Linked DNA regions of Struthio camelus. The protein of the gene in region 1 interacts with the protein of each later gene in a pairwise test. Links are inferred from orthologs where the notes say so. Each region holds a gene or a part of one and is shown in the gene's direction. Other genes may lie near its edges. The genes, in order: CREB3L1, GPR25, PGAP2 and FAM3C.

Region 1 (7,986 bases):
AAAATCCCTCCTCGAAAGTGACCTTCTGTTAGAAGATGTTTCAGTAAATTCCTCGCCTCCTGTCTTGACTTTTTCACAGCTTTTAAATCATTCCCGCAAAAACCAAATGAAGAAATTGCAGCCTGAATGCTGGATCTGTGGCTACTTGTATGATGGGTCTTACACTCTCTGAGACTGTCTGGCGACTGCAGTACCTCTCCTCTGAACTAGGCTGAAAGTCCTGTCTCCATCCTCACCTTGTTTTGGTGGGACTTGAGGAGCAGAAGGGACCTAGAGCACAGCAGTTGCTCCCTCAATCTGTGGCGCACAGGTCAGTGAGCAAACCCACCACCAAGCAATACCCAGAGGTAATCACATCCAGAGAAGAACTGGAGAGAAATAAAGGCAGGACAGCTAGAAAGAACTACTGATAGGCCAAAATATGGAGCCTGCAAGGCACGGGCTCCGGAAAGCCTTAGTGGCTAGGAAGATGGCTTGTGGTAGAAGCCAGCAGTTCCATTCATATGATCACCAAAGCTGGAAAAATAAACAGACCAAATGGTATCCATTGCCATACTTGAAGTAAAAACTTTGTGCTATGGTGGCAGTCCCTAAAACCAGTCTGAACCCCAAAGCAAACAGTTCTAACAGTGTGAATCAGTCCCATACTGGCTTTCTAGGCTGAAAATGAAGGCAAACATCAGCCAGATGATCCCTCCTGTAACAAGGCAGTATGCATGCAGCAAACCAGAAATCACTGACATATGCAATTTGCCCACATTCCTCAAGAAACACTCATTCTCTATGAGTTTGTCAAACCTCCTGGCTCGGTCTGGAGGGAAACAAAAATTTCAGCTTTGTGGGCTGCAAAATGGACTGGATCGCTGTGCACATGTTCAAGCTCAGAGTCTGGTTCCCTTGCCTTGTATGCGTTGCCCGCCACAGCGCAGAGTGAAGGCAAAGTGAGCGCAAAGTGATATGATGAGGGACTTGCATTTCCTACTCTCTCTCTCTTCACAGGTATAAAGGAAAGCAGCAGCAGCAAGACAAGGCAGAACGGAGCACAGAAGAGTAGGATCCTTTTGTTATGAAAATTTGGTTGATTATTCCATTATCAGCAATGATCTTGGTCATATATGTGCATTTGCAGTATCAAATGCTGCAAAGCCAGGAGGGCCTCTTTGTGGTCAGTTTGGGGCTTGTTCAGTCTAAACATACTTGGTTGCTCTTTCAGAATCTTTCTGTGATCAGATTGCAAATAAACCTAAATATAAAATCAGATAAAATAGGGCTGAAAAGGAATTTGAGCGATCATGTGATTCAGCCCCTGCCCGAAGGGTGGATGTTGATCGGCGATATTTATGTCCCAAGAGATGTCTGCAGAACTTGCTTTTAAAAAAGCTCCAGTGGTAGAGACGTTGCCACCTCCCAGGCACCTAGTCACTATTTTTGCCATTAGGTATTTTTTTCTATGACCTGTTCTGAAGTTTCCTTACTAGGATGTGAGTCTGTTACTGCTTGTCCCCTTCACTGTGGCAATGGAGAGAAATTATTGCCTTCCTCTTTCCCACAATTGTTTGAATGCCTAAAGACTGCTGGCATGAGACTCTTCTCTTTAGACAAAAGAAGCTCAGTTCTCTCAGGTTTTTTTGTAGACTTCCAGTTGTTCTCAGTGCCCTCCTCTGGACTCTGCCCCGTTAGTCCCACCTTCCTCGAGGTGTGCAAGCCCAGAGGGATATGATGTTCTGGCTAACACTGTGTTTTGCACCACTACTCTGCAGGGCAGAAGGGGAGCTCTTATATGTCTTAAAGGTTTGTAGGAGGGTTTCTGCATTTATATCGCAGCATGGCACTTGGCTTTTTCACAGCTACAGACACTGTTAACACTTGTTCAAGCGCTGCAAGCCCTATAGTTCCCAGGCCTCTTCCACAGAACTGCTACTCGGCCTGTCCTTCCTCGCCCTCAGTGTGTACACCCCAGTGAGGTGCACCAGATCGTTCTGAATTCTGGTTATCTCCCTTCACCCCATCAACACTTTCTTTATCCTCAGGTCTCTTTTGGAATACAAAACTGCTAGTCTGCAGAAATAACTCTCCTTTTTGGCTCCAAAGGGTCAGCAGTGATTCTCACTGAACGCAGAGGTAACTACGCTTGTGTTGCCTTTACTGGACTGCACTCATGTCTAACGTGGGAAGAGTGTTACTTGTCTCTTGCAAAGCTTCATAAAAGTGCTGGAGATGGGGTTTCCCTTCACAGTTCTTCAGGATGGGACAGACTAGCTTTGCAGTGCAGATATTGAAAAGGAAGATTTGTTACAATCATTCCTCACCTGCAGAGGTACAGCAACAGCTTCAGTAGACCGAGTCTGAGGCATTTATGTTCAGTACTAAATATATGAAATACAAACAGGGTCTCAGAACAGACAATTTCATATTTTTGAGATGTTTGAATCTTTAGGGCAGACTTCACAGAACTCCTGTTGGACTGTGCCAAAGCATTTTCCCTTTACAATGCAGACAAACAAGTCAGGTTTACTTTGCTTGACCTTTTCTGATGACACCGCCACCCATTCAGTGCAAACAGTTGCTGTAACTCACCGTCTCAGATTCCTCTGCCTGCACTGAGGATAAATACAGTGTATGCCTTGACTTCTCCTGCTTCCTTGTGTTAACTTGGGTGAGGCCCTGAACCACAAACGCTTAATTTCATTGGTAAATCTTAGCAGTTACGGAAGTGATATCCGTGTTTGGTTAGTGACAGGTGGTGGAAGCTTCCCCTGTTGTAGCTCTACAACAAAGCGTTGTAGCACCTTGACCCTCATCTGGAACACCATTACTATTGCAGTCCTTGGTCCTTCTACCCCACCAGAACTGAGAATTCCTCTAACTGTTAAGTTTAAGGAAATATGTCTGTCACCTTCCTTGGAGATAGAGATTCACCGCTTTCTGAAGGGTCTGGACCCATTTCTTCTCCTCATCTTACAGTGGTAAAGGTTTCTATGTTTCCAGCTTTATACCCACTGGCTCCCTTGTTGACAAAGCTATTTCTTTACCATTAAGGAAAGAGGAACAGTCCGGTGAGAACAGCATTATTTTATCTGTTTAATGGCAGTGATTGGACAGTTATTGTGGTACACTGGAGCATGAGGGATCAGGATGCGATGGCTATGCCATTCCAGAAGCGTGAGAGTGTGAGTTGCTCATGATGCCCCATCAAAGTGATGGGAGAGCAGGGCCTGCATTGATCCTATTCACAGAGAAGACGTATTTTGTTTTGTTCCCAGCATTTTATTGCAATAGGATCCAAGTACTGCTTTGCAGAAACTGCAAGTGTCTTCTCTCTTTAGAAGATGATTTCCAAATGCCATTCCTCCCTCATATACGTAAGAAATTAACTGACTTTGTGAAAACAGCAGCACAGTTCCATCCTGGCCGAATTTATATCTTTGGCCGTTTTACCTGAAGGCTCTTTACACTTGACTGAAACATAAGGTAAAAGTAAATGTAACTGAAAGAGCCCTTTGTGTGTACCAGTATAAAGGCTTTTATGTGGGGAAGGTAGCACGTGGAGGCTAGTGTGATGAGCAGCCAAGGAGTGTCTAGGGTAGTGGTGATAGTCCTAAGGTCTTTGTGGAACATGGCAAGAGCCCATGAGGGCCACACAGTGGAAACCTAGCGTCTGGTTCAGACACAGGCCCCAGCAAGCCTCAGAACTGCATTTCCCCACAGTGACCCTCACTGTTGGCAACTTCTAGCTACATTTCTCCCAGGAGAGATGCACTGTTGTCTTTTTTTTTTTAATCCATATGCTTGTGATCAAGAAAGCCACTGCTGGGAGTTGGGACTCTTGGCCACCCTTCGTGGAGCCATGAAGGCAGGAACAGATTAATAAAACATCAGAGTTTCTTCAACAGGATTATTATAAGTGGTTTTCTTGAGTGTTGGTTGGAATAAGGATCTGAGAGGACAGGGATCCATAATCCTATTTATCTGAAGCCATATAATCTTCCTGAAGCTCCTTAATTACAGAGCAGTCGGATGGGCTGCTGCAGCCAGGCCCACCTGCAAGCCTGTTATTGAGAGCCATGGCAAGAAGATCTCCCTGCAGGGCTTGTGGCTGCACTTTAGGAACTGAGCTCTCTGAAGACCCATCTTTTCTGACTCTGCTCCCTGAGGGATACTCAGGGGCCGCCACAGACCGCCATTGCCTATCAGCTTGCAGTGGTATCTCTGGATCTGCTAAAGGGAGGGTTTGCTCAGTTCACCAAACTGAAATCACACTGCTGGGGATCTGTTTTGCCCTCAGGCACCCGCTGCTGTCCGGGGAGCAGCGAGGCAGCCCCAGGGCCTGGTGGCCCAGCCAGCCCCGGGCAGCTGCAGGTCTTGCCCTCCCGGTGGTCCTGGTGGCCCAGGGCCTTCTGAGCATGGCAGCGGGTCACCCAGCCCCTCACCACTAGTCACTGGTGTCCTGGGGCAGATGGGGGAGTCTCAGGAGGAGGCTGGCTGGTACCTTGCCTCCAGCCTGCTCCTCGCTGCACTCCAGATCCCTTCCCGGGGCCCCGCGGGGGGGTGAGCGGGGGCATCGCGGGCAGACGCTGGGGGCACGGCGGGGGATGCCCTGCCGGGCGCGGGGGGGGCTGCAGCGCGGCGCCCGGCGGCGGAGCGGGCCCGGCCGAGGGTGCTGCCCGGCGGCAGCCGCGCTCCCTTAAGGGGGTGTCGGCGAGGCAAGTCCCGCCCCGCGGCCGCTTCCCTATTCATGAGGCGGGGGCGTGCCGGGCCGGCCGGGCGGTGCAGCCTGCCGAGCCCCTCCGGAGCCGGCCACTGACAGCTGGCCCGAGCGGGACCCCGGCGCGGCCCGGCCCGGCCCGGCACGGCGCTCCCGGCCCCCCGCTGGCAGCTCGCTCCCGCGGCGGCGCCGCGCCCCCGGCCGCGGCCCCGCCGCCCCATGGACCGCCGCCGGCCCCTGGGCGGCGGGACCGTGCCCTGCCCTGCCCGCGCCGCGCCGCAGTGAGCCCGGCCGGCGGAGCGCGGCCAGCCGCGGAGCCGCCCCGCCGCCGCGGGCACCATGGACAGTATCCTGGAGCCCTTCCCCGCCGAGCGGCTCTTCCCCGCCGGCGGCCCCGGCTTCCTCGACCTCGGCGACTTCAGCGAGGCGGATTTCCTCAGCAATGTGGTAAGGGGCGCAGCGGGCGGCGGCGACCGCCGGCAGCCCCCGCGCGGTGCCCCCGGCGGGGGCGGCCGCCCCGGCAGGGTGTCCCGGCGGGCCCCGCCGCAGCTGGGACGGGGCACGCGTCGGGGCTCGGCGCCTCTCTCGCGGCGCAGCCGGCTCCCGGGGCGGCGTGTGCCCGGGTGCCTGTCCCGGGGCTTGCGCGCACCGGGCGCGCTCGCCCCGGCGCGCGGCGGGCAGGTACCCGGGCTGCCGGCCCTCCCGCCGCCCACGGCCAGCGCCTCCCGGGGCCAGCCCCGCGCCCCACTGCCCGCAGGCATCCTGCAGCGCGGTACCCCGGCGCTGCCCGCCACAGGCACCCGCCGGAAGAGGACCGATTCTTCCTAACATGCCCTTTTCAAGGACTCCTGCCTTGGAGAGAGGCGTGCGGTCCGAGGGGGAGCGCGCAACCTGCCGCGGCTCGGCTCAGACAGCGCGGGAGGCACGCACGGTCGGGTGGTGTCGGGAGACCTTTCGGCTCAACGCCTCTGTTTTCATGTGGTTATAACTTCTTTGCGGAGTGGCATTTGGGAGATGAAGCATCTCCCGCCTGTTAAAGCTGGGAGGATTTACTTTGGAGCGAAGAGTGAGGGGGAAGAGTGACTTGGGAGAAAAATGTATTGCCGGTCCCAAGAAACCAAAGGGGCATTGTTCACCTCTAAGGAAACTGCCCAGCCTCTCTGTGGAGTCATGCGAGTCCTGAGTCCGGCAGCTCCCTGAACGCTGCCCCTAGGCTCTTTGCTGTCCTGCCTGAGCAATGGGAGCTGTGTCTTTGGTGGAAATTTGTGCTGCAAATCTTGCTGCCCCTCTACCAGGGAGGATGCTGCCCTGATGAGGAAGGGGAAGGGTCTCACATCATGGATGGGTTGGGGTGAAGGTGGGGGATCCTCCCACGCTCGGCAGAGAGGCACTGCCTGCACTCGGGGCTCCCCCAGCCTCCGAGCAGCCTCAGCCACGGGACAGTGTGCCTGCCACAGACCAAGCTTCCAGGCAGAGAGATTTTAGCCCTGACTTGTTATTCCCTTGCCACAATACTGGCACCTCCTGTGCTCTCAGCGCAGCACTGTGAGCATCTCTGAGCACTAGCCTTGCAATGGGAGTAGGGGTGATGCCAGCACTATGACACAGGAGCAGGGGGCAGGGAAAGGGGGGCTATAGCCATTAAGCACCTGATAAATCCTCTTCTGCTTTCCTAAGCAGAAGCCTGAAGCCCTTCCTTTTATGCTGCCTCCCTTATGAAGGAGATAGTAGAGAAGCAGAATTTGCATATATGTTAAGTGTACCACACTTGGTGTGTGGAGACACAGTGGGTCTGTAAGAGAGATTATCAGCAGCCAATCCTGTCTCTCAGAAATCTCACCAACTCCTAATTTCCAAGACGCTGCTGTGCCTCAGGGACTGATGCCAGTTGGGGACTACGGGAGGCAGCAGACTCTCGCCTTGTTCTAGAACTGCCGATGGCAAGTCACCCTGAGACTGAATGCTTGCTCGCACTGTGAGGCCTTGTTTGCTCACAGCTGAAAGACCTGTTGTTATGAGTTCTGTGTTTTCCCTAACTCCATCTACATCCAAAGTGGATGAAGCTGTGCTGATAGAGAAGTGCTTTATGCCAGGACCGTTCCCTTACCTACATGAAAATAATAGGGCGTAACATCAGTCCTTTTATATAGGTCCAACATGGACTGCAATAAGAAGGCAGGGAACCCCTTTAAAACACACAGGGTACCTCCTTATAGTTTGAATATATCTTCTGTGTGCAAGCAGACCATGCGAAAAAGAAGCTTTTGTGTAAGAGTGCCATCTGGTGCCACCTGCCAGGACAGTGTTTTTAAAGTATACACTGATCATGAAGAGGCTGGCTCTTTCCTACCTGATTTCAATGGCCTTTCTGCTTGCAATGCTGCTTCTCAAAGTTGCCTGCTCTGGTCTCCACTTTCATTAGGTTGCAGTGACTCTGGCACTGTTGTGCTCAACTTACAAGTAGAAAAATAAATGCTTTGGTTTTTTTTCCCAATTGCCAGCACCATAAACTTCCCTGGAGTATGAGAGTCAAGCTGATACCTTGTCTTCCTGTGTATGATAAATAGAAGAGATTCTGTAGCTGTTGCTCAGCTATCAAATCTGTTGATGATACATGAGCCAGAACATAATATATCACCCTCTTTGTTCCAGTTCTGCATGATAACATGGTGGAAAGGAATACAGTTACATTTTGCTATTAAATCCAGCAATTCTCATGGGATCTTGAAATCTTTCGAGAAGATCTTCTTACACAGAACTGTGCAGAGCATCACCATGCACAGTAGTGCTCAAAGGCTGCCAGTGCCTTTGCTTCAAAGATGAACAAACATTTCCAGATATTGTTCAGCAAGTATTTTTCTTCAAACAGGAATTTTGGCCATAAAATGCCAGTATGAAACTTTTTCTTAGGAAGATTTCTTCTGTTCAGAATTGAAGCAGAAAGAAAGAAAGGATGGATGAACCTTCATATTCCCTACTGATGAGGCTGTGCTCATTTGGGATGAGAATTACATTCTTCTGAACTACTCTCCTTTCTTGAATGCTAGCATTCTTAACTAATCATCATGTCCTTTAAAAAAAGATTCTCTGCATTGTTCATTTGAAGGTGTGACAAACCGAAGTAATGACAGCACATCTGTTGATGCATCCTTAAAGAGGTCCATGTGCTTGAAAAAGAAAAAAAAAAAATATTGGTTTGAACAAGTCTGGGAGCTGCCATCCAGAGGGACCCAGACAGGCCAGAGGAATGGGCTGACAGAAGCCTCATGAAATTCAGCAAA
Region 2 (7,346 bases), on another chromosome or scaffold:
TCCCCGCCGCCCAGCAGGGCTAATCCCGGGGCTTAATGGCTTTCGCGAGCGGAGCAGGGGCCGCGCGGGCCGGCGGCGCTGGGGAAGCTGACGGGGGCGGCTCGCTGGGCCCCCCGCACCTGGTCCGTGCCCTCTCGGCCCCTGCGCGCCCCTGGCCCCCAGCCTCACGGTCGCCTGGTGGGACAAGGACCGCCGGCGGCGGGTGCATGGGGCTGTCGCAGAGCAAGCAGGTGAGTGGTGGCAGGTCGCCGGGACGGCCTGGGGACAGGGACGTGCGGGGGAGCCTCTCCTGTGCCGGGGCTCGGAGGGGAAGGCATGGTAGGTCCTGTCTGGCCACCCCAAGACCTGTTCCCAGGCACTGCACTGATGCCCCAGAGCCCAAAGTCCGGCTGTCCCCTTGCCATCCTTGGGTTCCAGAGTTAACACAGGGGCGGATGTGGGGAAGAGTGAGGGGAGCACTGGGAGACGGGAGGAGTGGGGTCAGCCTCCACTTGATGCGGGACTCACTTGGTGTCGGTGTACCTACACCTGGAGCGGGGCTGGCGGGTGACTCAGTCCCCTTGGGTGACAGCCATGGTGCAGCTGCCCCACACTGGCCCCAGTGAAGTTGGCTTCCCGGGGAGCCCATGGCCGTATCCTGTCCCGGTCCACGGGGCAGGTGGTGATGGGCAGGGACCCACAATGTCCCCCTCAAAACCTGCCGGGTTTCACTCCATGGCCCTCTCTGACCTCGTGCTTCACCTTCGCCAGGGCGGCTGCAAAGCCACGAGGAGCAGCGAGGTGCCGGGTAGGTGCTGCCGGGGCTGCGGGACCCCAGGGGTGATGGAGACCCCAAGGGGCAATGGGGACCTGAGGGGCAATGGGGACATGAGGGGCTATGGGGACCCAACAGGTGATGGGGACACCAAGAGGCCATGGGCACCCCAGAGGCAATGGGGACCTGAGGGGCCACAGGGGCCCAAGGGACAAGGGGACATGAGGGGTGATGGAGACCCAAGGGGGTGGTGGGGACCTGAGGGGCAATGGGGACCCAAGGGGCCACAGGGGCCCAAGGGACAATGGGGACATGAGGGGTGATAGAGACCCAAGGGAGTGGTGGGGACCTGAGGAGCAATGGGGACCCGAAGGGATGATGGGGACCTGCAGGGTTATGGGGGCCCTGAGGGGCCATGGGGACCTCAGGGTGTCAATAGGGACTCCAAGGAGCAAGGGGACCTGAAGGGTGATGGAGACCTGAAGGGACAATGAGGACCCAAAGGGCGATGGGGACCATGGGGTGGCCTGGGGACAGGGACAGCAGGCTGGTGCTCTCTGGAGTGGGACCTGTCCTCTGGAGTGGCTCTGAACCCCCTCTGTAGTGCCCTGGAGGTGACCCCATCCCTTGGTAACCATGTCCCCTGATGACCCCATCCCCAGTGACCCTGTCCCTGTGGTGATGCTGGAGATGGGCTCTCCCAGTGACCTCATCTGTCAGTGACCCCATCTCCTGGTGACCCTCTCCCCAGGAATCCCATCCCCCTTGGGCCTCCATCCCCCTGGTGACCCCATCACCAGGGATGCCATCCTGTGGTGACCCCTTCCCCTGGTGGCCCTATCCCCTGGTGACCCCACTGGCCTGGTGACCCTGTCCCCAGGGACCCTGTCTCCCAGTGACCCCCACTTTCCACCCCAGAGGGTGACAGCAGCCATGGCCTCACCCCAGCCCCAGCTGCTGATGGCCACGGCGGCCTCATCCAGCCAAGAAAGGTGCCAAACCCTGTGCGGGAGTCCCGGCGCCATCGGGAGCTGCACCGGGAGCTACTCTTCAGCCACGGGAGGTGAGTGGGGCCAGGGTGTGGGGCTGGGGCATGGGACAGTCCCCGAGCAGGGCCAGCGGAGTGGCAGGGCTGGCCACCGCAGTGGGGCCCATCCCGCCGTCCTCGCAGGGGGATCCTGCCCCGGCACACGGCCGAGCTCCCGCGGGCGCTGGAGAGCCGGCGGCTGAGGCAGCGGCGGCAGGAGGAGCAGCGGGAAGCCACCACGGACCTGGAGCAGCAGCTGAGGAAACGGCAGCAGAGGCTCGAGGAGGTCCGTGCCACCCCTCTGGCCCCCTCCGTCCACCCTCCTTCCTTCGTCCCTCCGTTCTCCATCCGCCCCCCTCCATCCCTCTAGCCCAGCCGTCCTTCCTCCCTCCATCCCTTCCTCCCTTCATCCTTGCACCGATCCCTCCATCCAAGCCTCCACCCGTCCCTCCTTTGTCCCTCTGTCCATTCCTCATTGCCCCAGGGGCTGGATGCAGGGGTGGCCGAGGGAGGCTGGATCTGGGGGACGGCCGGGGGAGGCTGGATTTGGGGGACGGCCAAGGGAGGCTGGATTTGGGGGGTGGCCGGGGGAGGCTGGATCTGGGGGGCGGCCGGGGGAGGCTGGATTTGGGGGGTGGCCGGGGGAGGCTGGATTTGGGGGACAGCTGAGGGAGGCTGGATTTGGGGGACGGCCGAGGGAGGCTGGATTTGGGGGGTGGCTGAGGGAGGCTGGATCTGGGGGGTGGCCGAGGGAGGCTGGATTTGGGGGGTGGCCGGGGGAGGCTGGATTTGGGGGACGGCCGAGGGAGGCTGGATCTGGGGGGTGGCCGAGGGAGGCTGGATTTGGGGGGTGACCGAGGGAGGCTGGATCTGGGGGGTGACCGAGGGAGGCTGGATTTGGGGGACGGCCGAGGGAGGCTGGATTTGGGGGGCGGCCGGGGGAGGCTGGATCTGGGGGGTGGCTGGGGGAGGCTGGATTTGGGGGGTGGCCGAGGGAGGCTGGATCTGGGGGGCGGCCGAGGGAGGCTGGATCTGGGGGGTGGCCGAGGGAGGCTGGATCTGGGGGGTGGCTGGGGGAGGCTGGATTTGGGGGGTGGCCGAGGGAGGCTGGATCTGGGGGGTGGCCGAGGGAGGCTGGATCTGGGGGGTGACCGAGGGAGGCTGGATCTGGGGGGCGGCCGGGGGAGGCTGGATCTGGGGGGCGGCCGGGGGAGGCTGGATCTGGGGGGTGGCCGAGGGAGGCTGGATCTGGGGGGCGGCCGGGGGAGGCTGGATCTGGGGGACGGCCGAGGGAGGCTGGATTTGGGGGGTGACCGAGGGAGGCTGGATTTGGGGGGTGGCCGAGGGAGGCTGGATCTGGGGGACGGCCGGGGGAGGCTGGATCTGGGGGGTGGCCGGGGGAGGCTGGATCTGGGGGGTGGCCGAGGGAGGCTGGATCTGGGGGGTGACCGAGGGAGGCTGGATCTGGGGGGCGGCCGAGGGAGGCTGGATTTGGGGGGTGGCCGGGGGAGGCTGGATCTGGGGGGCGGCCGGGGGAGGCTGGATCTGGGGGGTGGCCGAGGGAGGCTGGATCTGGGGGGCGGCCGAGGGAGGCTGGATCTGGGGGGTGACCGAGGGAGGCTGGATCTGGGGGACGGCCGAGGGAGGCTGGATCTGGGGGGTGACCGAGGGAGGCTGGATCTGGGGGGTGACCGAGGGAGGCTGGATCTGGGGGGCGGCCGAGGGAGGCTGGATCTGGGGGGTGACCGAGGGAGGCTGGATCTGGGGGGCGGCCGGGGGAGGCTGGATCTGGGGGGTGACCGAGGGAGGCTGGATTTGGGGGACGGCCGAGGGAGGCTGGATTTGGGGGGCGGCCGAGGGAGGCTGGATCTGGGGGGTGGCCGAGGGAGGCTGGATTTGGGGGGTGGCCGAGGGAGGCTGGATCTGGGGGGTGACCGAGGGAGGCTGGATTTGGGGGGTGGCCGAGGGAGGCTGGATCTGGGGGACGGCCGAGGGAGGCTGGATTTGGGGGGCGGCCGAGGGAGGCTGGATCTGGGGGGTGGCTGGGGGAGGCTGGATCTGGGGGGTGGCCGGGGGAGGCTGGATCTGGGGGGCGGCCGAGGGAGGCTGGATCTGGGGGACGGCCGAGGGAGGCTGGATCTGGGGGACGGCCGGGGGAGACTGGATTTGGGGATTTGGCCAAGGGAGGCCTGTTGGAGGGAGGCTGGATCCGGGGAAGGGCCGAGAGGGGGCCGGGTCGGAGGACAACCGAGGGGGGCCGGTCGGGGCCGTGGCCGCCCCCGACGCCGACGCCGGCCCCTCTCCCGGCAGCACGAGCGGGAAGCGGCCCTGGGCCGGGAGCCGGAGCGCCGGCCTGAGTTCCTCCGGGTCCGGCAGAGCCTGAGGCGCATCGAGCGGTGGCCGGAGGCGGGCGGCCGGCGGCCCCCCGGGGATCAGCCCTCCGCCGCCGCCCCCCTGCCCCGCACGCCTCCGCTCAGCGGCCTGTAAATCAACCGAGTGTGGGCCGGTTGCCCGAGCGCCTACGAGCCCGTTCGGGGCGAAACGGGGCCGCGGCCGCGTCGGTCCCTGGGAGCCGTGGGCTCCCCCAGCCCCGCGTCTCGCCCCCGAAATGAGAAAGCCGGGAACCCCTTGGGATTCGAGAGCCGCCGCCTGCCCCAAACTTCCCTGCGCCTTCCCCCTTTCCCCAGCCTACGAGGCCTGGGAGAGAGCCAGGCTGGGATGGCTTTGTGTCCACCTGCGGCCTGTGGCCTTCACCTGCTTCACCTGCCTCCACCCCCGCCTCCTCTGGGGGTTTCTTTCCTCTCTCTGTTTTTCTCATTGTTTTTCTGTTTCCAAAATTAAACGCGGCTCACCTCATACCCTCCGGCACCCTTCCACCCTGCAGCCCTTGCCCCCGTACGAAAGGAAGTGCAAAACACTGTTTTGAGCAGATTGCAGATCAACAACCAAACCACTGGGCGAGGTGAGCACCGCCCAGGGCGGCTGGGGAGGGGGCACGGCACCGCGGGGCCCAGAGCCGCCGTCCCTGCCCGCACTCGCGGCCAGGCGCTGGGGATGCCGACATGGGTCCCCAAGCAGCCGAGGACTTCGTGCTGTCCGCAGACTACGATTACCCAGTGGGGACCAAATCCACGGGGACGGAGGAGCGTTTCTCCAGGTGGGAGTCGTCCTACATGACCGTCTTCATCCCCATCCTCTACTCCTTCATTTTCCTCCTTGGCTTCGTGGGGAACCTCTTTGTGATCGTGCTGCTGGCCAAGAAGAGAGGCAGCAAGAGGATGGTGGATACGTTTGTGCTGAACCTGGCTGTGGCCGACGTGATCTTCGTCTGCACCCTGCCCTTCTGGGTCGTGGCAGGCGCCCATGGGAACCGCTGGCAGCTCGGGGAAGGGCTCTGCAAGGTGAGCAGCTACGCCATCACTGTGAACCGCTGCTCCAGCATCCTCTTCCTCACCGCCCTGAGCGTGGAGCGCTACCTGGTCATCAGGAAGGTGCTGGATACCAAGATGACGGGGTCCAAGAGGCACGTCTTTGTCACTTGTGGGCTGATCTGGGTTGTGTCCCTCCTCCTGGGTGCGCCGTCCCTGGAGTACCGGCGGCTAGATGGAGATGACTGTTGGGATGAGGATGGGGAGGATTTCAGCCTGGCAATGGTCTTCCTCACCTTCCTCCTGCCACTGGCGGTCATCTTGTTCTGCTACTGCTCCATCTACTACCAGCTCCACAGGCACATCAGGCTGGGGAAGGGGATGAGGAACTCCCACCGGATCATCTTCACCATCGTCGGAGCCTTCATCTGCTCCTGGCTGCCCTTGAATGTCTGCAAGGTGTTGCTCTTCTTCATCGCGAAGGGGATGCTGGTCCTCTCCGAGGTGGAGGAGGAGGCCTTGAGGTGGGTCGTCACCAGCAGCACATGCCTGGCCTTCATGAACAGCTGCGTCAACCCCATCATTTACACCCTGATGGATCGCCATTTCCGGCGCCAGCTGCTGCCCCCGGCTCTCCGGGTGCTCTGCCTTTCCCCCGCAGAGAAGGGGCACAACATGGCCACGACGTCCTCTGTGACCGAGTCCAGCCTCATGTTCGGCGTCAGGACCAAGCCGTCCGCACCGCCGGGGCGCTGGCCAGCAGTGCAAGAGGAGAAGGATTGGGGGCCAAACGAGTAGGTCATTTGGGGAGGGCTGAGCTTGAGCAAGTGCCTGGGCTTGTCTACCTTCCTCATCTCTTCAAAGCATTGCAGAGAGAGAGCTGCGGGGCTGAGGGAGCGCAGGATGAGCCCTTTCTGGGGGGGGGGGGTTTCCTGGCTCCAGCACAGCCCTGCGCCACAGATTCGGATGCGTTTCCAAAACAGCTGCTAAAGTTGGTCCCGGCAGGTGAAGCTGCAGCTCCCCACACCACGGGTTCGGATGCTTTTCCAAAGCGGCTGCTAAGCTTTGTCCCTGCCGACTTCCCAGGGCCTGCCCAGGGCATCACCGGGGCCAGGCAGATGCCGTCGCAGGCGCAAGGTGACGGTTTCCCAGAGCCCAGACCCGTCCCTCCGCAGCCGCCATCATTTCAGACCTGCTGTGTGATTATGAGCTTAATTAAACCAAGCAGCCTTGGGTTAAAGCCATTGCGGGTGGCATCAGCCCCAGCACGTGGTGCAATTCCTTGCATCGATTCCACTAGCTGCTGAGTTTGTGTCTCGCAGGGCTATTGCTGCTTTTGTGGGATTGCCTCTACTTCTCAAATATATCGATAACACGGGCGGAACAACTGCAGCTGTGATCATACAACCCAAAACGGCAGCACTCTCTCTCTGTTAAGTAATCGTATGATAAAATGCTCTTAATAAGCTTAGCAGGTTAAAAGAAATAAGCTTGCAAGCAGGAATCTGCGTGCCCACTTTCAGCATTGATTTCGGTCTTATGAACAGCTATTTTTATAGCCTGCTTGTGGAATAAATATGTTTTAATGCTCAGCTGTGGTTCAGAGAAGCTTTGCCGAGACCGGGGCAGATGTCTATGGGAACCGCCGCTTTCGGTGGTGGCACTTGGCAGCCTGGCCCCGGGCCGCTTGTGGAAATTTTGAGCCACGGTTACTCGATTAGAAACCATTGCGCCGGGCTTTTTGAGACGGGCTTTCTGCAACCGTGCCCTTTCTGCCGCGGCTTTCCCGCGCCCGCCGATCCCGGGCCCTGGCCGACGCAGGACGGCCACCTCCGCCGCCTGCCTCCTAAATGCGCCGCTTTGCAAAATGAGCTGCCGTTTCCCAGCACACAGCCCACGGGGGACAGCCGGGGTGCCCGGGCGCGGGGACACGCGCTCTCGGAGGCGGCCGACGCATCCCGGCCACCTCCGCGCTGGCCCCGAGCGTGGGCATCGATGGGAGAGCAGCAGCACTGAGGCCGCAAGCGTTTCCCTTGCCTTCTCGCCCCGCGTTTTCCCCTGCCAAACGGCTCTAAACCGTTTTTCTTCCCGTTCACTTTCTCGCTACGCGGCGCCCCGCACTGCCAGGGTTTCCTGCCTTGACCCCCTCGAAGGGGAATAAAATACCATCATGCCAATGAAACAGCAGCATCCACGA
Region 3 (7,285 bases), on another chromosome or scaffold:
GGAAAAATGAATTCAGCATTTATGTAAAGCTTACTTTGAAAAGGCATTTTTCATCTTCCTCACTGTTGATGTAAGCAATCTAATTTGAATAGTCCAGGCATAATATGCATGAGAGCAAGATTTAAGTTCATGCAGATGGTCAGAATTCTAAATAAGTCTAGAACACTAATACTTTAGTAACATCACAAAACCTCAGCATCCTTGAAACAATCCATGCAAAATCAGTCAGGAAGCTAAGCAGAGTACAACATTAGCTGACTAATGCCGCATCTCAGTAACATCAGAGAGAGTGGATACCGTGATACCGTTCCCCCCTATTCTGCTAACAGTCTGACTGGGGCCTGTTTCTGTAACGCTGGGGTATAAGAGTTCTAACACATATCAAGATTTCATCACAAGTTTCTGTACTTCCACATGGACAGCCAGTGAGTTTCTTCTCCCTTGGCTACAGAGTTTTTTCTGTTCATGGGAAGAGAGAGAAAAAAACAAAACCAATTTTGCCAATGCTGTCTGGATCTCCTAAGCATCAACAGAACGGAGGTCTCACTGGTGGCACATCATGGGTGTGGGAGGTGCCTACATCAGTAGAGGAGAGTTATACTTTTAGCACAGTCCTCTATGATAGACTGGAGCTACAGTTTGTTACATTTGTCTTTCCTGTCACCCTAACACTCATGTTTGCGCAATCACCTGTGGTGCCTGGAAGTCCACCCCACTAAAACGCTCTTTTAAGAAGGCACACAAAGACTTGCATTGTACAACAGCTGTTCCTGTGACACTCTAGGATCTTCCACAGCTAATTTTCTATTAAACTCTACTTGCCAGCTACTTCAAACAAGACACAAGAAATGAAGGAAATGCATTGTACAGGTATTACAGGAGTAGACCTTCCACCAACTTTTGATTTATTGCTCACAGATTGTATCAAAATTTTCTTAACTCCAGTAAAAACTTTCTAAAAGGCTTTTTAAGGTCTTACACTGTTTAGGCAGAGGCCCAATTTCCCCTTACAACACCTACTGTTTTATTCGCAGAAACACTTAGCAACGCTACCTCTCTCCAAACTCTTTTCCAAGCGCAGACACAGACACAATGCAATGCCTTTTTCAATACTATCAAGCTGGGGGTGGGGCGGGGGGACACCACCCTCAATCATGATCTAGTCAGTACAATTTGCAGTCTTTTTTCCTGTATTAGGGCTAGCAGATGTTTTTATTCTTCCACCACTGAAAGTACTAATATTATCTAGGAAGATTTTTCACTGTTGGTAGCAATAGCTAAGCTACAGCAGTGCAAAACTATTGTATTTTCCCCACAGAAAAGCGTGGGGTAATCATCAATTATTCAAAACACTAGTAAATCCAATAACACGTCGAAATTTCGTAGCCTTAAGAATCTTCCCACTCACACCCGTAAGGCCTTACTGACTTCATTACACACTTTAAGAGTACTTTACGTAAAATGATTGGGGGCTAAGTAAAAAAAGCTCGTTTGAAGAAATATTAGAAAATCCTCAGACTAAAATCGGCCTCCTGGAATAGAGCGTTGCCTGTCACAAAATACAATCGTTTCCACGGGATGCAAGGTAACGTTATATTTAAAACGTACGAGAATTCCTCCTAACTCCATCTCCCACTGACGGCCCGCTCCCAAAGCTTCGGCATTGTGCACGATCTTCCAAGTGTACTTCCAATTCTTCCATAAGCACATTCCCACAGTGGTGCCAAGACCACCACGTTTGGTTATTCAGCAGAAACCAGCTTTGGACAGTGGGACAGAACGCATGACCATGTGTTCTGTGTTTCTTCAAAAGCTAAACTTTTCTGTTTTACCAAAACTGTAGGTAGCTTCCAAGAACATTCATCATCCCCCCCCCAACCTATCTCCCAAGACTTCAAATTTAATGCATTCTCTGTTTGTTAGTTATGCGATTACATCTCCTCTTAGCACACCTTAAAAAGACACTACCTATCCCTCCACACTTCCAAGACGCAAGCGACCTGGATTCCCAGTCTGAGTGCACTCTCATACCTTGAATTTTACATCCACCTCAGATGCATTCTTACTCGTTCCTCTACAGTGCTTTCAGTTATTTCACTTTTGCCCCACGGGCAACGTCAATCTCTTTGAAGACCAACATTCAGTTACTTCTCAGACCATATTTCAATTATGATTGGTCTCAATTTTATTTTCGCTTCACAAGACCCCTCTGCTTTCACTGTTCCCTTGTTTACGCCGTTATTTTTTCAAAGTCGAACACCATGACTGTCGTTTAATATCAAATTCTCTTTATCCTTCCTCAAATTCCTTCTGAAATAACTTTCTAAAAAGCAAGCAAGCTTCAAAAAACTTTAAAAACAAGCTTTCCCACTTGCTTTCAAACTTCCTCATTCTCCCTTGGCACCTCCTCTTCCTTAACTACCGATTCTCAGAAGCTCAGGTTTGACAAGCTACCACAAAAACAGAGCTCAGTCTTCATTAGATTACTAATGCCTTGGATAGGTAAGTAGTTACATTACTAACCTAGGTCAGTGGTATGGGAATGCCTCATCCAGACAACTGTCTATCGCACTTAAAACACAGCATCGAACAAATTTACTCAGGAACTATTCCATGAAAGCATATTTGAAGTAGCATCTAAGAAGTGAAGAACAATAGCAGGCTTAGTAAAAGGGGATTTTTTCCAAAACGCTCCTCTAACATCTTCTCGATACACAAATCAAGTCCTGCACCCTACTCAACCTTCACCTGATCGGCAGCCATTCCCTTGCTTTACCTGAAGAAGAGGGCTCTAACCATAGTTTTACAGCAACATAACACGAGCCTCAAACCGCACCCAAACAGAGCCTGAACCAAGATACCTGAACATAATTTAAACACCGCGTTAACAGACCCGTGGCGCTGCTCCCAGACCCCCACCGCTTTAAGCCCCTGAAAGCGGGGCAGCGCCTACGCTGCCGAGTTTACAGGTAACGTGTAAACGCGCAGCGGTTGTGGGGACGGAGGGCTCGGCTTCACCCCGCGCGCCCCCCCCCCCCACGGAGCCAGCCCGACAAACTCCCACACCGCCACGGCCCGGCGGGGGCCGGCCCGGCCGGGGCGCTCCGCACCGCCGGGGGCGCGGAACCGAACCGGCAGCGAAGGTCACCCGCAGCCCCTTCGCGGTGGAGGCGGCTGGGGAACAGCGCGGCCTCCCCCCCTCCTCACCGGCCCGGCCCGGCCCCGGGGCCGCGCGTGGAGCCGCGGCCCGGCCCTCCCCCCTTTCCCGGCACCGCCCAACAAAGGCCGCGGGGCGCCCCCCGCCCGCCCGGGGCCGTCCCCGTCGCTCACCGCGGGCGCGGGTCGCCGAAGGGCCGGGGGAAGGGAAGCGCCGGGCCGCGCCAGGCCGGGCCGCACCGGGCCGGGCCTCGCCTCGCCTCTCCCGCGCCGCCGCCGCCGCCTCACAGGGGGAGGGAATCTGCGTCACACTCCGCTCCGCGCGCCTCCCAGCCGCCCCTGCGCCGCGGCGCGCGCGCCGCTCCCGCCTACCCTATTGGCCGGCCCCGCCCCCGCGCGCCCGCCGCTCATTGGCTGCCGCTCTTTGAAAGCGAGACGGCTCCCCTCCCCTCCCACCTCACCCTGGTGGGAACGGGAAGCGAAGGGGCTGCTGCTCTCTGATTGGCTGCAGCCACGCGCCGCGTCCTGCGGCGACCCGAGCGCCGATTGGCCGGGCCCCGGGAGGGGGAAGGGCGGCCACTGAGGAAGGGTCCAGAACAGCCGCACCACTGGGCTACCCTACATCCGGGGCGTTGGGGGGCGGGACTTCCCCCGGCCTGGCCAACCCGGCAGCGCCGGGCCGCCTCCATGTTGTGACGCAGCGGGCGGGGCCGAGGGCCTTAAAGGGGCGCCGCGGGGAAGCACTTGCTCCACCGGGGGGGGGGAGGCGCCCCGCGGGGCCGAAGGCGATTCCAGCCCCACGCGCGTCCCCGTGGGGCGCTCGATGTTGACCCAGAGCCTTCGGCGCCGCCGTACGCTCCTGTGGGGCTGCACCAAAGAGACACACAAGCTCTTGGCCCTGCCGCGCCCCGCGTGGGGCCGCCCCAGAGAGCCCTCGGGCCCGCCGCGCCCCGCGTGGGGCCTCCCCGGAGCGGCCTCGGGCCCGCCGCGCCCCGCGTGGGGCCGCCTCAGAGAGCGCTGGGCCCCGCCGCGCCCCGCGTGGGGCCGGAGGCGGGAGGAAGAGGAGGGATGAGCGGGCGCGGCCTGGCCCAGGGTGGGCAGGAAGAGGCGGGCGGCGGGGGGAGGAGGAAGGGGAGGACGGGGAGGAGCGGCGGCGGCGGCGGGACTGAGCCGTGTGGGGCCGGTGGGTGCGAGGGGGTCACGGGGGGGGGAGACGTGGGGGGAGCGGAGAGCTGGAGGGGTCACGGGGGGCCGGGGGGAGCAAGGGGGAGTGAGGAGCCGGGGGGGTGGCGGGGAGCGGGGGGGTGGGAGGGTCGTAGGGGCAGTGAGGTGCCGGGGGGCGGTCACGGGGGGAGTGGGGAGCCGGGGGGGTGGCAGGCGGCTGGGGGGGGTCACAGGGGATGGGGGGAGCCGGGGGGGTCGTGGGGGCAGTGAGGACCTGGGGGGGTCATGGGAGGAGGTGGGGGGAGTGGGGAGCCGGGGGGGTCACGGATGGAGCTGGGGGGGACTGGGGGTGGGTGACGGGGGGAGTGAGGGGGCCGGGGGGGGGAGCAGGGGGCTGAGGGAGTCGTGGGGGCAGTGAGGAGCTGGGGGGGGGTCACGGATGGAGCTGGGGGGGACTGGGGGTGGGTGACGGGGGGAGTGAGGGGGCCGGGGGGGGAGCAGGGGGCTGAGGGAGTCGTGGGGGCAGTGAGGAGCTGGGGAGGGTCACGGATGGAGCTGGGGGGGACTGGGGGTGGGTGACGGGGGGAGTGAGGGGGCCGGGGGGGGAGCAGGGGGCTGGGGGAGTCGTGGGGGCAGTGAGGAGCTGGGGGGGGTCACGGATGGAGCTGGGGGGGACTGGGGGTGGGTGACGGGGGGAGTGAGGGGGCCGGGGGGGGAGCAGGGGGCTGAGGGAGTCATGGGGGCAGTGAGGAGCTGGGGGGGGTCACGGATGGAGCTGGGGGGGACTGGGGGTGGGTGACGGGGGGAGTGAGGGGGCCGGGGGGGGAGCAGGGGGCTGAGGGAGTCGTGGGGGCAGTGAGGAGCTGGGGGGGGTCACGGATGGAGCTGGGGGGGACGGGGGGAGTGGGGAGCCGGGGGGGGTCACGGATGGAGCTGGGGGGGGCTGGGGGTGGGTCATGTTGGGAGCGAGAGGGGGGGTCACGGGGGGCCGGGGTGGGGTGGGGGGTGTTGAGCTCTTCGGACGGTCACAGCGCTGATTCGCTTTTCGGCTTTGGCCGCGCGGGGGCCGGGCCAGGCTCTCACGTCGCCCCCCCCCCCCCCCCCCCCCCGTTTGCCCGCAGCCCCCCCCAGCGCGATGCCTAGAGCGGCCGCGATGGCCGAGCCGCCGCGCAGGTAACGGCCCGGAGCCGGAGCCGGACGCAGCCCTTGCGGCAGACGCTGCCCCCGCGCCGAGGAGCTCAGCGCCGCCGGGGGGGCCGGCACGCCGCCGCCGGCCTCCGACCCTCGCTGGTAAGCTGCTTCCCCCCTGCCAGGGTTTGACGGGAGCCCCGGGGGGTGGCTCCGCAGCCCGAAAGAGGGGCCGCGTCCTTTGGGGGGGGGGGGCGGAGGGCTGCACTTCGCCACGGGCTGCTCCGTCCCCTTCCCACCTCCGCTTCTTCTTTGCAGGTCCGTCGACATGTTACAGGTACCGCTGCCCCTGGACCGCGATGGGATCCTGTTCCGGCTCCGTTTCACCACGCTGGCTGTTGGCACCGTGTTCTGCCCGCTGTTTGGTTTCCTTTTCTGCGTGATCTGGTCTCTGCTGTTCCATTTCCAGGAGACGACAGCCACCCACTGCGGGGTAAGCGCCTCTCACCGGCCAAACGCAGAGGTCTGCAAAGGGGGCGCCTGGCGCGGCGGGAATCCTGCCTTGCTCCGCGCTCTCCCCCCCGCCGGGATACGTGACCTTGGATACGTTCCTCTCCGTTATTGTGCTGCTGATGCCGCGTGACTAGCGGTTGAGGTTCCCGCTTTTAAAAAGGGATGGAGGGTAGCGCAGCCTGGCCTGGCCGACGTCTGTGCTGAGCAGGCGGGTGGTGACTGGAGAGCAGAACTAGCGAAGCTGCAGATAAAGATGGTGTCTCATGGAAGAGTTAACCCAGCTTTGGCAAAAGGAGTTCCTGCCTCTTGGAGGCACTGGAGGAGTCGCAAGCGCGTGCCTGGGAGCGGTCCGGTTGACAGGGACCTCTTGGGTTCCCAGAAGGGTTCGGATCAGGTTCCTCACCAAGGCTTTCAAGCAGCCGCGGCACAAGCGTGGAAGTCTGTGCCTGCACAAGCACCTAGCGAAAAGGCAGGAGTAGATAATCTCAGCTCTCACAGCAGCAGGAGGAGGTGACCTCAGGGTGTTACAGGTGTCTGTGGTCTTCCTTGTGCCCGTGCGCAGTGGGGTGACGAAGACTGCTGGCGATGGCAAGGTGCTGGTGCAGGAAGGGTGAGGCAGGCTGTCAGGGGCTGCGTCCAGGGCGGGACGCAGCTGGGCGACCGAGCAGCAAAATGCCAGTGCGGTTCCATGCAGAGAAATAAGTGATGTGCATGTGGACAGGCACTCCTGAGGTTGCCTACAATGAGGTGGAGGTGGGCTCTGCGCTGACCATCGCCGCTCCGGAGTGAGGTCTGGGGGAGCGATAGATGTTCTCGTGAAACTTCCACTCGGTGCTCAGGAGTAGTTGAAAAAGTCAATCAAAGCCCAGGAGTTGTTAGGAAAGGAGTAGAGCAGAGCGGGCGGCATTCATGCCGGTGTTGGCCCGTGGCTGAGACGTGTCTTGAACAACGCGTGCAGGTCTGTCCCCTCCTCCCAAGCAGCAGTACGGGATCTGTACGGAGGAGAGCAGCGAGGATGCTCAGAGGCGTCACGTGGGGATGACGAAGTAAGCAAGGATCCTTCATTGTCAAATGGGAAGAGATGATGAGGTGGGAGAGGTAGGATAGAGACCTCTAAAGCCATGGCTGGCGTGCAGAGCACAGACAGGGATCCCGTTCGCCCTCTGCCAGCGTCAGAGTTAGAGGACGCCGTATGGAGGTGGCAGGTTGGCAGCAACCCCGTGGGACCCGGCTCCTCCTCAAGCAGAGGGTAGTGGATCTGTGGACTGTCCATCCACAGGAGACTGTGGGTACGCAGCTCTACCTGGGTGCCGGCCAGACCGAA
Region 4 (7,577 bases), on another chromosome or scaffold:
CCATAAGTCCTCAACTTGAACAAAAATGAAACAAAATAAAGAGAAAAAAAAACAGACCTGAAAGTTTGGTAATGCTTTGGTAATGACATGGAGTTTATTTTGACTTATTACAGAAAAAGGGGAGATCTATAAAATACTGATCCGGATTAGCACATCAGCACCAAGAAAGGTTTGAAGTGTTTAAAGTCCTCGCCTGGACTCAGATCCTTCAATTACTTCCTGCTTTTTCTATCTATTGTCACTCAGACTTCTCATATCATAAATCTGATGTTTTGGCTGCTTGTAAACTCACTTCTGACAGGAACGGGGGGAGAGGTCACTAAAGAGAGAACATATCTATTGCAAATATCTGCTACACCATAGGGCACATATTGAATAATACATTTTTGTTCAGACACAGGCTCATTCTGTTTATATAAAGCTTGCTGACACCAGCCAGAAAGCTAATAAAATGGTCTTTCAGAGATGACTTTTCCATACACGTTTTTGCTTGTTTGGAAGAGGAAAGGAGAGGAAAGAGGAGAGAGCCTAAGTCACTTCATGTTGTAGTTTTACATTTTAGTTTCTATTTATAGTTCAAGTGACTTGCAACTTGGTGAAAAACACATTTTCCATTTGCTTCAAGGCAAATTGCCTGGAGCATTCTCTAAGCAACTTTCTTCACTTTCTTTTTTTTTCTTTTTTTTAATAACTTATAAAAGATGCTTAGGGTTTGCATCTTTTTACTTTAGGCAATGTAATACTTATTGTATTAGATGCCAAGATAAGTGTTTTCTATGATTGTGCTGCTGCATGGAGAGAAGTAACTTGTTATACCACAAATTTTCCATGCTTAAGAGAACTAGGTGTCTGCCAGTAGTCTAATGGCTGGCTCATTCAAAACTCCATGGAAAGGTCCACCGAGGCAAAAGTTTTAATTTATAGCATATAAATGTCAAATTTATACTTACCAAAAAAATGTATTTTTTAAAAAACATCAGGAATTGCTCTGATACCAGATCAGAAAATCATAACTGATTAGTAGAATATCTATTGCCAGAGGCAGTAGTCAGAAGCCTAAAGATGAAGTACCTGGAAGCATTTTGATTTGGTATTTTACTACATTAATCTCCATTAGTCTTAGTGCACTAAATAAACTCAGGTATCACTTCACTTAACCTTTTGTAATTATATGATGGCACTGTTATCATTTTCTAAAAAAAAAAAAAACAGTGCAGTGCCATAATTTCTTTTATTAAAAACTAGTAGTTATGAGAGATTTAAGAAAGTAAGTTCAGGTCAAATGCTAGAGATACTAGGAAAGAAACTCTTCAAAGATGTGAGTTTCAGCTTAGGCATTTTTTTCAGCTTATCATGGTGATAGGCCCAACCGTGAAGTTCAACTTTGTTGAGACCCAAAGCACCTCAATTCTTAAGGAACTTTGGCTTCTGATATTTGCAAAATACAGAACCAAAATAAATGCTTACTGTGGAGCTTTTTCTTAGTGTTTAACGGTTGAAGGATACAAACAAGCTATTTTTTGCTTTATAATTTTTAATAAATATAACAATTTTTGGTTTAAAAATTATAAATTTAGAATTTCATTATGTGGTTATGAAACGTATTCCATGTGGTATCCTTGTTATTACTGACTTTCTTAATTTACAGAAGCAAAAATGGTAAATTCATCACAAGCGAGTAAGAAGCAAAAAAAAAAAAAAACCCTAAAGAGATAGATTTCATTTTTACTTTTTATGGAAGTTCTATATTTAATGGCCATAGCCATTTCATTACAAGACAAATTAGAAAAAATTGAAATTGCTTAATCTCATTAATAATAAACAACAGGCAAAAGAGTATCAGACTCAACAAACAACAAATGATTCTTTGAATTAGTAGTGTAAATCATGTAAACAGATTTCTTTCAGCCGAACCCATAGAGGCTACTGTTGCTTTGCCCGGGCACATTTCTTCTAATAATTTTGTTCATATTTGGCTTCATATACAATTGATGGCCTTTTTAGATATACCAAACCTAGGGAGGTGCTGCTTAGCCAATAGAATACATTAAGGAAGGTACTTACAGGGATGTATCTACTGTAGCTAGTAAGGTGTGCTCACCACCTACAACCAGTGGAACGTGAAGCACAACCGACCGCTTTGTGAGGGAGTTTTGGTGATGCATAGAAATGGTATCTTTGGCACCGTGATGCTTGTATGTGATCAGAGCACGATCAGAGCACTGCACACTGGAATCAAACGAGGGTGATCCCATCAGGGTCACTTGCTGTTTAAAAATCACCCAGTGATGCCAGTAAGCTGTGACAACCATAATGTAGAAGCACTTCGCTACGGAGCAACAAATCATAAAAAGTACTTGTGCAAAGGCTGCACTTGTACTGTTATCATGTTCAGGTATAGTATGATTTATCAAAGTGTTACTGTACTTTTTTATTAATGAGTCAGTAATAGATGCCTAACTTCAGATCACAACACTGTGCACAAAGCAATTCAGATTCTGCAGAACCTCGTAAACGATAGCAAGAAGAGATACTTAATATTCAGAGCCATCTTAAGACACTGTGAGGTCTTGAATACTCCCTTTTTTTGGGCTCCTGCCAGCTGCCATATTTCTGGGGAACTTCTGGAGAAACGTGCGTCTACTCCCTGTGTGAGTTGTGGCACCCGTTCAGTCAGGCAGGTAAATAATGACCTTTATTTAATTGTGGCCTTTCTCAAGTCTTCCTTATTTCTTTGACTTCGATACAGATGTATTTTAAGGTGTTGGTTACTGTGCAGATAACAATATTTCCTCTTTTAATAATTTGATATTGCTATTTATGTAATCTCTTGAAAATGTTTGCTTCTATAGCAAATATTTACTTATCAAAGAAGCCAGCCTCTGATAACACGCTGACCTTATTAGTCTGTTACGTGGTAGCGCGACCTGACAGGCAATCAGGAGAACAAGGTGGACTTTCATATGTTAAGCACCGAAATAACTGTCAAATTAAGATATATCTATATCAAATACTTAGAAATAAAAGCTATAAACTCTTTCTTGCTTGAGTAATGCTCCACCCACTGTGTATTTCTTCATTAATTCTGAGATTAAAGTATGCCTGAATCTTCAGTGTGTTGCAAGAATTTAATAAAGAAATTACCTGACTGATGATCAAACAACCATTCTGTACCAAGGGCCCGTTGGTAGCAGAGTATGTTATTTTAAGCTTGTCAAAAGAAAGATCTGTTGACCAGATGTGGTTAAAATAAGAAACTTCCTTTTGTCTATTTGACTCTGACGATGTGTGATATTCCCTATATTTTAGCTGTGACTAAGAACTACCATACCTATTTTGCAAAAACGTTCCCTTCGTAGTTTGACAATAATCTAACTGACCGAACGTGGCTATCTGCAGTCTGAGTACTTGCTATACACACCCCAGCAACAGTCCGGCTGAGGGAGTTACATCGACAGAACTTCTCTCCCACAAAATAAAACGGTTAGTCTGCTGTCAGCTTATCTCCCTGTACCAGCTCACGACAGAGTTAGATGACCAGTGCCTCCCCTCAAGAAAAGAAGAAAAAAAAAAAGCAGCCACAGAGCATTGGTGGAGACAAAGAGGAGAGAGGGATTGCCTTTTCCTTTCTTTTGCAATAACTCAGTTAGATCAGCTCCGTCCTACTGATCAAAAAGGTTAAATAAAAGATGTGTTTTTTTAAAGTAGACAATACCTTCCCTGTTTTGCAACAGAAAATAACTTTTGGGTTAAAAGAGGCTTAAAATATAAAAGAAAAGATGAAATTCGTGCTTTTTATCTGCAAACTCTTCATCCTTCTCCCCCACAAGCCCACTTCCTAAAACTCAACCAGTTTCACCCATGTTATGAGTCTGACTCAGAAGCTCACCCACCGCGACAGACACGGGATAGACGGCCCGGAAAACCAATATAATCCTGGCTCTAGCCCTTGTTTCCTCCTAGCCTGTGACACTAGGTGCCTTAAGGCTGATTTTCAGAGGTACCTAGCACACTTTTTCCCCCTTGTTTGAGCTGGGCTGGTAGCCAGACGGACGGCGGTGGACCTGCGGGCGTGACGGAGGTCACACATTTAGAAGGTCGGGTTTCCTTAAGCTGTCGAAGAACTCGCTGTCACCCCTGCGAAACGCTGCTACAGCAGGCACCAGCGTCAACAGCAGCTAGAAACGATGCGCACAGCCCTGGCCGTAGGGCGCGTGGCCGAGCAGCGGAGGGAGGGGGGCGACGCCGGCCCCCGCGCCTCAGCCCCCGACGGGCAGAAAGACCCTGCGGACGTGGAAGGAAGCCGAGGCCAGGCGGGCTCGCCCACGGACCTAGTGATGGGCGTCAGGACTCACGTCGCCGCCCCCAAAAAACGCGTCTATCGGGTTTTTTTTTTTTTTGCCTCGAGGGCAGCCGCCAACCCGCCGCCCGCTGCGCCAGGGAGCGCGGCAGCGGGGCGGGAGGGCCGGGCTGGGGCGCGGCTGCGGGGCGGGGCCGCGCCGCCCCCGGTCCGCCACCACTAGGGGGCGGGCGCGCCGCTCCGCCTCGCCCCTTCCTCTCTGTCTGCCGCCGCAGCTGTGGCGGGCACCGCTCGGCTTCCTGCTCCGTCGCCGCCGGGCGCTGCGGGCGGGCGGGCCGGGGAGCCGGCGCGGCCGCCGAGGGACACGGGGACGCCGAGCGCCGCGGCCGCCCAGCGCAGCCCAGGTAGGGAGCCGCGTCCTCCGCGGCGTCCTGCGCCCCCTCCGTGCGGCGCGGGCGGCCCCTGCCGCCGGAGCCGGCCGCGGCCCCCGCCGCCGCTCCCGGCTGCCTCTTGGCGCTGTCCCAGCCGCTCCCGCCGCGCCCCTCGGCCGCGGGCCGGGGTCTCCGCGGCTGCCCCCGGCCCTGCTGCCCCCTCGGGGCCGCTCCGCCGCTCGTCACCCCCTGACCTGCGAGCGTGGGGCCGGCGGCGGCGGCTGGGGCTCCGGCTCCGGCAGCCGCCGCGCAGGCAGCGGGAGGCGAGGAGCCGGGTCACCTGGCCGTGTGGTTAAGTGCCCCGGTGTAGGTAGGTAAGCAAGCTGTTTTTGTTGTAGTCAGTCTTTTACTGTTGCCACAAAGTAGTAGCACAGTGTATATATATGTGTGTGTGTGTATATGTATATATGTGTATATGTACATACGTGTATAAGTATTTCTTTCTGATTGGTTTTGCTGTTCCCTCGTTGCGCACTGTTGAGTAGTGGATCATGGGCATCGCTGACGGGGGAGTTAAAAGGATCAACCCGTGTTTAACTCAAACGTTAAATTACAGTGTTGTAGAGGACCGTCCTGAAACGGACAAGGAGAAAGTGCTACGTGTCTAGATCTGCGGGGAGGTAGATGTAGAAGTAGCGTGTGTTTCTTTGGTTTCTACTTTCTGATGTTTGTGATGTAGGAAAACGTATAATCCTTTTATCTGTTTTTCATTACTGTAGGTAAGTGCTACCGTATCTTCAGTTATGGTTTTGTCTGAGTTGCAGACAGGCTGTGTAACTCGCCTGATTTCCTTTTCTTTCAATTTTCTCAAATTTAAAATGGGATTAAACGATATTGTAGCAACTCATGACTTTTAAAAACATCTTTGTATATACATGGCTTTTTTTTTTTTTTGTATTATTCTGTGTTCCCCATAAGTCCATACAGGCTTTGAATCTATGGTTCTCTGTTGCAGGTGAACATAGCTGGCAGTTCTGTTTCTCCACCAAAGTATTATTTAACCCTAACAGTAGAATTATTTAGAAAAAATGAAACGCCTGTGCATATTTGTCCCTTCTTAAAGCCTGTGAGGGTAATCAAGGTACAACTCACTTCGTTAGGCCCAGGATGACCCCTGGCCGCAGAGGGATTCTTTGAGGGAAGAAGTCTTTTTGATCTGTTGGCTTGCATAGTTGTCTGTTTGGCAAAACAAGTTTTGAAACTTGCTTGAAGCCTGAAGACAGACGCTTTACAAGTTAATAGCTTAGCATTGTGTAACAATATCCAATCACTTAAGGATGGAGGAGGTATGTGGTTTTATTGCAGCCATTGCTTCTCTTTCTGTCTATTTACAACAGATCTGACTATCTCATCTAGTAAGAGTGTGGAGTAAGTAGCTAACTGAGGAAATAGCCTGGCTTTACCCACATGTTATTGCCCAGCATCTCTAGATGCAGCCCTAGTGGGACAGGGCATTGAAATTCTACATTTAATGATAATTCTCTCAGCACTGTAAGGAAAGAGGTATAATATAGAAAAAGTTCGAGAGTTTAATGAATTTTTGCCAAGCTAATGTTTAAAATGTGAACTGTAATTGAACACTTAATTTTTTTTTTCCAGAAGATTAGCATAAGGAGAGGGATTTTTTCCTGTAAGATCACAAGATGGATTGGTACAGTATAAGTCACAAAAATATATATCGTTTTGCTTACAGATTATTTTATAGCCTAAAGTGTCCATAAGATGAATCTTTAGCAGACACAGAGAACTTCTTACTTAAGCCTTGGGTTATTCAGATAGAATCTGTTTGTTTAGATTTCTGTTTTTTTTCAATCCGCATTCCCTATGAAATCAAAGGGGTGACCTGGGAGTGTAAGGACTGCAAGCCTTATCACTTATGTTAGCCACCAGTATCTCCCTAAGGCTTAGTATAAATGGTATAGATATTCCGTTTTGAGTTTTCCACTAAAATCTGCTAAGGAAGTTTAGAATTTAAGGTTTAGTTATTGTAAATCACACATTTTCTCTGCCAGTGGCCTGCTGTACAACCCTGTGATAATCATTTTGCTGTCAGTAGCACTGGAATTAATTACAACTCTTTAGCATTCTAGAAGGATCTCTCTGGGAAGTATCATATTTATCTGAAACCGAGGCAGTCTATAAATTCTCAGGATTACTTCAGGAAAAATATAATTGGCAATACCATCAGAAAACCTAGTTTGACAGTGAGGCTTCATGAGAAGGCTGAGCAAATCTAACAGCCTAATGGTGCTGTGCTCTGCTCCCTACCGCTCCTGAAAGTTGTCTGCTAGACTGGCAGAAATGTATTCATTCTCTTTCACTAAGTTAGCTTTTTTTTTTCTTGCTTAGTGAGCAAAACCATGTGGCCAGGGCTGGAGAAAAGGTTTAGTGTGACTCTCTTTTTTGGCAGCAGCAACAACCTGGCAGATGAGATCAGCGTGTCTCCCAAGTTTCTATGCTTTGTAGTATTATCCAGGCCTGAGGCCTAGTGACATGAGAGTGGGAAAAAGTGGCAAGAGGGAAATAACTTTAAACTGGTATTGCTGCATGAAACATCTCTTAACACCAGATTTTTCAATATGGATGTTAAAACATCTATAACATATAAATAGATGCTCCTGCCTTCCCACTTTGTCTTCTAAAAATCGATGCTGAACCATGAACCCAAATATAGACTTTTTTAGTGGGATATGGATTATGAAAGGACCTAAGGAATTTTTTCTTTAAAAAAAAAAAAAAGAAGTTGGATAATTTGTAGTTCTCATTCTTTCCTTTGATTTGTTTGTAGTTCCCTGCATCTTGATATTATCCACAAATTTCGAAAATTTTTACAGTGAGCTATGAAT

The links.
Region 2: the proteins of CREB3L1 (region 1) and GPR25 interact in binary tests that used the Homo sapiens proteins (3 or more experiments, as listed by UniProt). The two-hybrid records come from large-scale screens. The link is inferred for Struthio camelus from reciprocal best matches to the Homo sapiens genes CREB3L1 and GPR25.
Region 3: the proteins of CREB3L1 (region 1) and PGAP2 interact in binary tests that used the Homo sapiens proteins (3 or more experiments, as listed by UniProt). The two-hybrid records come from large-scale screens. The link is inferred for Struthio camelus from reciprocal best matches to the Homo sapiens genes CREB3L1 and PGAP2.
Region 4: the proteins of CREB3L1 (region 1) and FAM3C interact in binary tests that used the Homo sapiens proteins (3 or more experiments, as listed by UniProt). The two-hybrid records come from large-scale screens. The link is inferred for Struthio camelus from reciprocal best matches to the Homo sapiens genes CREB3L1 and FAM3C.

Annotation. Positions count from the first base shown.
Region 1 is NC_090946.1:40,126,518-40,134,503, reverse strand, and holds the start of CREB3L1 (cyclic AMP-responsive element-binding protein 3-like protein 1), read left to right. Parts: upstream 1-4,982; 5' UTR 4,983-5,044; coding exon 5,045-5,152; intron 5,153-7,986.
Region 2 is NC_090965.1:4,031,843-4,039,188, reverse strand, and holds the start of GPR25 (probable G-protein coupled receptor 25), read left to right. Parts: upstream 1-4,344; 5' UTR 4,345-4,843; coding exon 4,844-5,947; 3' UTR 5,948-7,346. Other genes in the region: uncharacterized protein, read left to right, coding at 36-230, 751-787, 1,673-1,817, 1,926-2,067, 4,092-4,268. UniProt on the Homo sapiens protein: Orphan receptor.
Region 3 is NC_090942.1:224,221,334-224,228,618, forward strand, and holds the start of PGAP2 (post-GPI attachment to proteins factor 2), read left to right. Parts: upstream 1-4,279; 5' UTR 4,280-4,339; intron 4,340-5,441; 5' UTR 5,442-5,610; intron 5,611-5,747; exon of another isoform or gene 5,748-5,766; 5' UTR 5,767-5,776; coding exon 5,777-5,941; intron 5,942-7,285.
Region 4 is NC_090942.1:26,047,947-26,055,523, forward strand, and holds the start of FAM3C (protein FAM3C), read left to right. Parts: upstream 1-4,569; 5' UTR 4,570-4,704; intron 4,705-4,924; exon of another isoform or gene 4,925-5,041; intron 5,042-7,577. UniProt on the Homo sapiens protein: May be involved in retinal laminar formation. Promotes epithelial to mesenchymal transition.